Tribolium castaneum: one gene and its partner. The protein of the gene in region 1 interacts with the protein of each later gene in a pairwise test. Links are inferred from orthologs where the notes say so. Each region holds a gene or a part of one and is shown on either strand. Other genes may lie near its edges. The genes, in order: betaggt-I and Fnta.

Region 1 (3,247 bases):
TCTTCAACGATTTTTGTCTTTTTGGACCAAATAGTCATCTCAGAATTTAAAAAATTGGTGTTTAAATTCGTCTTTTTCAGCCAAATAAAGACTTTTAGCTCTTTCCACCAAAAGAACTTTCGAAAACTTACTTATTTGAAACGCTATTTTACACAATTTCTTAATTTATTGCTGAATGGATGTAATTATTTTTGTTTTTGTGTTTTTAAGACTGGAATGACACCATCTACTGATATTGATTTGATTATTTTTGCCAAAAAGTAAAATTCATAAGTTGTTTTTCCACAGGTTTTTTTGGGTTGCGTAAATTGTAATTCAGAAATAAAAACAATTAATATTTTGGGCTAGATTTTGGGTTTAAAATTTAAAAATACCACAGAGAATCACAACTATACGTTCTTCATTATTATCATTGCGTTTCTTTACTTAAAAGCTTTATTTTAAATTGAAAAATATTTGCATTTTGATTTTACAAATCCCTACATACAGGGAAGATTCTATTTTGATGAACATTTGCATTTCTATTTATAACTGTTTGCAATGCATCGACATGGATTTTTTAAAACTAAACATAGTATGATACAATTAATAGTGTTATGTGATGTTCAGTAAACTAAAAACCTCAGTGTATGATGTTCTCTTAAATTTTTGGTACAATGAATTACATCTGATCTTTTCTTACATACAGCTGAAAAAGGTGAATAAGAATAAATTACTCTTACATCTTACTCTTTCCAAAATACCAAAAAAAACAAGAATTTTCTTATAACTTTTGACTACGACAAAATAAAAAAAACTCTTTAAACTACTCTTCAACGTTCTCTTCCTCTACCTCTATGCATATACGCCATCCCTTTGATAGTTTCATAATACCTTAAAAAAAAAAGTTTTTTGGCTTAGTGCGTAGTCACTTATGTACAAGAGGTTCTATCGAGCAATTTAAACACTAAAAGAAATTTTTTCAATCTAATATTACGTATCAGAAACTTGAATCCGTCATTTCACTCCAGAATCCAAAAAATCCAATTCAAAAAAAGCCACTAAAGGCCAAAGTTGTGGTTTCAGATGCAAACAATATGGCGTCTCTATTTTGAAAGATCCAGGGCGTTATATACACGGATTTTTTGGAAGACAAACGTCCAAATCAATGCCCCTTTTACTATTTTTAATTGATATCTGAAAAATTTATCCCTCGAACAAAAAGACGGGATTTTTCAGCCCGATCGTAATCAGCCCATTTGTCCACAAAGATCGTGGAAAAATTGCACTGAAAGACACCTCCATAGCCCCTTTATAGTCTTAAGATGTCACCTTGTCATTATTTTTTTTAACCACCTACAGAGGCAAAATTTTGCGCATAACCGGCTCACGCACTCGGCCCAAAAACTTCTGTAAAACAGGTATTATGGAACTACCAAAGGGATGGCGTTTGTGCATAGCGGTAGAGGAAGAGTTCGTGGAAAAGAAAATTAAAGAATTTTCTTAAAAAAAATTTCAGTAAAAAGTTATTAACTATTTCCGGTTTATATTTGAAGTCCTCTCGTACATACGAAAAATGCTTTCTCAAATCATCTATTACATTTTTTTAAATACTGTGATCACGATCACTGATCTGAATTACAAGTGATGTTTTCGTAATTTAAATTTGCTACTCAGAGTTGCTGTTGATCTTTTCTAAAATACATGTTTCTAATCTGAATTTCAGTTGAAAAAATTGTAGTGTAAAAGATTTGCTCTTTCAATAGTAATTAGTTTAATTAGAGTGTGCTACTTTGAGTACACGTCACTTGAATTATTAAATTATTATTATTAAACAAAATATGATTGTGAATAAAATAGCCAGTCAGGGACGGAATTTGAACTGAAAATTTTTGGAATATTTGATTTTTCTCAGTTCATTGTCCTCCCTTGACAATAATAATATACCGAGTGAAAACCCATTTCATTATTTTTTTAATTTTTGAAATCGGGCCTTAAACAAAAATTCTTCAGGCCTGAAGTTGATAGTTAAGGTTGCCAAAATAAAATTTCAAATACGTCACCCGGTACAACCCTCGGGCTCCATCTAACCCCGATTCCTTTGCCCTCGGGCTAATAAAACATTTCCCACCTCGTCAGTAAAGTACCATTTACAGTCATACGACTTCGGCATCGCACAAGGCCCCCAACTGGAATCGCACAGCGGCTCAACTTTTTGTGCCGTAGCCACCCTCGCCTTAACCAAGCAATTGCACAGACTATCTCCCCCCCAGCTGGAGGGCCTGAAACGTTGGTTACTAAACCGTTTCGAGAACGGTTTCACCGGCCGCCCCAACAAGCCCTCGGACACGTGCTACTCCTTCTGGACAGGAGGGGCCCTCAAAATTTTGAACGCATATCAATTCATTGAAGAGAAGGACAACGACCAGTTCATTTTAGTAACGCAGGACCGTAACGGGGGCTTTTCAAAATGGGTCAACACGGCCCCCGACGCCATGCACACGTATCTGGGCCTCGCAGGCCTGAGTTTTATGAATGAGACTGGAATAAGCAGCGTTTTCCCCGATTTGAACATGTCGACACGAGCGCACGAACATTTGTTAAGTTTGCATAGGAAATGGAGGGGCTGTTGAGACTTATACAATACGATTTTTACAAATAAATATTTACATTACGGGTTGTTTTATTGGTTGCATAACCTTGACCCGAGCTTTGGAAGCTCCGCCAGTGGCGCTCTCTGTGGCGATTTTCCCCGCAGCTAGTTGCCGTGAAAGAGGGGCGCAGAGCAGATGTGAGTAGCGAGTGGCAGTGAGTGTGTTGTAAACAATCATTTCTTTTGAAATTCATAAATAAGCGAAATTTTATTGATTTGTATTGACATCAGCAGGACGCACTGTAACATTCCCGCTAATCGGCTCTTTTAATTTTGTAAGTGGTCTAATTATTTTATTTTTTGCGGGGGAGTCAATAATGTGTCGGCGCAAAAGTGCACATTTTTTTGATTTGTAATAATTGTTTTATATTTTTTTGTGTGTTACGAGTGAGTGGAGAATGATTCATAGGCGGCTATCATCAGCCACTCCTCAGTATAGAAATTCACACCAATTTATAGTCAAGGTTTGAATTTTATCCAAAAAAAAATTCTAATAAATTATTTATGTTGATTTTGCAAAATCGTGGCATGTATGAGTAGCATTTCCTTGAATTAAACAAATCAGCCGAGTGTTTGCGCTCTTCCGCATTTAATTACGAATGCCACCTTCCACTT
Region 2 (3,605 bases), about 8.3 Mb from region 1:
AGGGTGATGGCTTGGACGGTAAATACGCCGGCTGAAAAGCAATTTCTTGCACGTGTGCTTAAAATTACTTATCTTACTGATACTTTAACGGGTGAAGGGACTACACATACTCCTCCTTTGTAAATAAAAAGTGACATAATTTGGTGGTTTTTGGATGTATGGGCAGCAGCGGGGTTTAGGCTAATTATAAGGGCAGCAATTTCCGCATTTTTACAATTTTAGCCAAAAACATGATCTCGTTTTTTCTGTGGTTTAAAAAATGATTTTTTTATTCGCAAGCGGATTTTAATGATTAAAATTAACTGATTTTATTGTGTCATAATTTTGAGCGTCTGAAGGAGTTCAAGCATGTTTCCTTATGCCATATACAAATATATTATTTTGTATTTAGGTAAAGTAAATAAAATTATATCTATGAATTGTTACAATTTAAATCAACTTAATCAGCTCCTGTCCATTTCCCAATCTTCCGTCACAAAGCCAATTTTTTCTTTCTACTTTCATTGAAAAATTGGAAGAAAAAAGGACGTAACGTATGCCAAGGACAAGTGTATTTAAAATAAAACGTAAAGTGGTTTTATTCATTTATTTAACAATTACTGGCTTTCGAAAATGTGCAATGGAATAAATTGCCTTGTAATAAAAATACGTACAAAAAGATTAACATTTGCGACGTTTTAATTAAAGAAAAAACATTACATCGTTAGAAAGAGGACGTTCACGGTGGCATATTTCGCTTTAGAAAGAAATACAACGATGGAAAACACTTAAGACACATACAAAAATAAGTAAACATCACAGAAATTTTTTCATCGACTTTATTTTTAATTTTCTGCTTCGACTTGTGACTCCTCCTTCTTGCTTTTCTTCTCAATGGTTTCGGCCATAAACTGCCAATATTTCGCTCTGACGGTGTCATATTTTTCGGAAAGTTCGTTACACAAATTTTTGGCTCTTTCCAAATTGTAAAGTGGGTCTTCATTGCCTTGGGAAACTTGCTCTGAACACATATCAACAAGGAGGGCTAATAAAAATGGAGACCTGTTTCCCGAGTTGTATAATTCCTCACAAAATTCAGTGACTTTTTTGTTGCGGCTAAGGCCACACTTATCATGCAATAACACGCTAAGAAGGAAAAATTAATACAATTGCGTTTACTGGAAACGTTAGAAATACCCTCTTAAGTAATTCCAAGCGCTTTCGTTCTCTGTTACGACTTTAATATTGGACAGAGCGTAGTCAATTTCTCTATTTAAGACTTCTTCTGTAAACCCGGTTGTGCCCATAACTACGAAATATCTTTGATTCCAAGCTGAGTTGTTCCTGATATCGTCCGAAATGAGACTATCAATGTACTCAAGCTCTCCATCATACAAACTATTAAAAAATAATTACGGTTACACAAAAAAGTAAATTAACGTACTTGAACGTTTTAATTATCCACTGCCTGTGTTGCCAGGCGTGGTAATTTTTCGCATCTTTCGCTAAAACGGTCTCAGTCAAGTACTTCTCCTTTGCTGCATCTTGCAGCCACTCCACTAGCACCTTCCTGTGGTGCCAAACCTGGTAATTTTTCGGCTGATTATAAACAATAATCTTCTCAATAAAGTCCATCTCCTCGTTCAAATCCTTATTCAAAGCTTTCAAAATTTCACGCCTCAAATTCGAAAATGACCCAAAAAATCGCCCAATAAATTACAGTTACCTGTACTGCCAAACTGTATAATTCGCCGGATTTAGGGCCGCAGCGTCCTTGGTAAGGTTCAGGGCCCGTTCCGATTTCTCCCCGCTTTGCAAAACAGCTCGGAAATAATCAAAAACATCCTTAACTGAAAGTTTTTGTAGTTACAAAGTTGAGGTGTGCACTAAACTTACACTGTTCAGTGTAATCGATTGCGACTATTGGCTGATCCCCGTCATCCTGGGGCACCGGGGTCACATCTTTCCATTCCCGGCGGTCTTTGTACAGCTGGAATGTGGTATCACTCTCGTCACTGCTACTTTCACCCATTTTTTCAATCAAAAAGTCGCCCCTTTTTTACCTAACCACAAAATTCGGATTGTCAATAGTTTGACGCAGGGCTCTTTGCTATGGGCCGAGTGGGCGTGCGTCCGAAAAATACAGTCGGCCAGTTGGGTGTATAATTGGTTGCGGGGTAAAAAAATATGCGAGTAGGGTTTGTAATATGTTTATAACATTAAAAATGAGTACATAATAGATCTCCTGACTTGTCTTATTTACAAATAACAATGAGTTATTTAGATGGGTAACATTAAAATGGGCCTTAGACTACTCTATACAGATATAAACAGTGATTAGGATGAGGATTAGGAATATGCGTGGATTATCTCGACCATATTTTGGTAACAGTAAGCCTTACTACAAATAAACGTAATCTGCGCCTTGCAGCTTTTTTTGTAACGTTCGTATTTGGCACAGCTCTAATTTTTACCCATTAAACATATACAGAAATGATAAACATTAACAACATATAGAAGAACATTATCCTTATCAACTTGGTACATAGCACCATAGACGCTCCATTATAAAATAACTGTCGTAATAAAAAAGCTACATAATTTAGGTATCTTAGGTTTTTCTAACCAAAATATTGTCAATCTTTTGACTAACATACATCACACATTTAGATCCTAGTACATTGAACAGTCTTACATATATCAACAATAATATAATCTAGACTTTATATAGTGACATACAGATATGTCTAACGAATATGGCTCACTAGTAATGATATCGTCGCTTTATTTATATCGCTAAGACGTTTCCCGAATAATACCCGAATTTTGGGGAAACTTTTAAAAGCTTTATACCCAATTCCACAATTTTGTTGGACAATATAAAAATATCTACTTTAGGGTAACAAAAATTCTAAACCATTGGTGAAACGGTTGAGTAATCTTATTACAAATCAAGCGACTTTTAGCAGAATAAATAAACCGCATTAGCAGCAATTTTTTTTGGTAATTAATGCAAAAATGCGATAGGTACATTTGCTTAAATAATATTTGTTATTTATCTATGCTATATTTATCTGATGTTTAGTTTCTATATATTTAAAATATATTATTTTATCTACATCCTCTTTTATAAAAACTGTAAGAAATTTGGTATAAATGTACAAACTTACGGTGTCAAACGAACCGCAAAGCCAGCGAACCCCGAGATGAGTTATCGTTCCGGTAATTCGTCCCACACCGCAGCTTGTTGGCTTTTCATAAATCGTTTTGTTATTAATTTATCACTGTTTTAAATAATTTAATTACGTTGGTCATTGTATCGCGGTCGGCATTCGTTCATGTCCAGGAGGGCGGTGGACGAACGCCGACTGGTGAACGTCATATCGATGAATCGAAAACAGCCATGGAAGAAGAGATGTCTTCGTCTTTCCTGCAGCACTCGAGAAATTCGTCCAAAGTGACGACGCCGTCCTTATTCTTGTCCATTTTCTGCAATCGTAAAATTTCATGAGATAGGGGGCGGTTATCGGCGAATGCCCATGTAGTTTATAATATCGCAAAGGTCGGACCACTCATGTTGAATAATTCTATTGCCGGAAACTGAATTTTATCGTAGGTATTTGACG

Evidence for each region.
Region 2: the proteins of betaggt-I (region 1) and Fnta interact in binary tests that used the Homo sapiens proteins (3 or more experiments, as listed by UniProt). The link is inferred for Tribolium castaneum from reciprocal best matches to the Homo sapiens genes PGGT1B and FNTA.

Annotation. Positions count from the first base shown.
Region 1 is NC_087397.1:10,033,232-10,036,478, reverse strand, and holds the end of betaggt-I (geranylgeranyl transferase type-1 subunit beta), read left to right. Parts: intron 1-2,135; coding exon 2,136-2,612; 3' UTR 2,613-2,653; downstream 2,654-3,247. UniProt on the Homo sapiens protein: Catalyzes the transfer of a geranyl-geranyl moiety from geranyl-geranyl pyrophosphate to a cysteine at the fourth position from the C-terminus of proteins having the C-terminal sequence Cys-aliphatic-aliphatic-X.
Region 2 is NC_087397.1:1,730,886-1,734,490, reverse strand, and holds Fnta (protein farnesyltransferase/geranylgeranyltransferase type-1 subunit alpha), read right to left. Parts: upstream 2,091-3,605; 5' UTR 2,012-2,090; coding exon 1,876-2,011; intron 1,830-1,875; coding exon 1,706-1,829; intron 1,658-1,705; coding exon 1,424-1,657; intron 1,378-1,423; coding exon 1,177-1,377; intron 1,126-1,176; coding exon 825-1,125; 3' UTR 572-824; downstream 1-571. Other genes in the region: glycerophosphodiester phosphodiesterase 1, read left to right, coding at 1-123; Kv channel-interacting protein 1, read right to left, coding at 3,358-3,468. UniProt on the Homo sapiens protein: Essential subunit of both the farnesyltransferase and the geranylgeranyltransferase complex.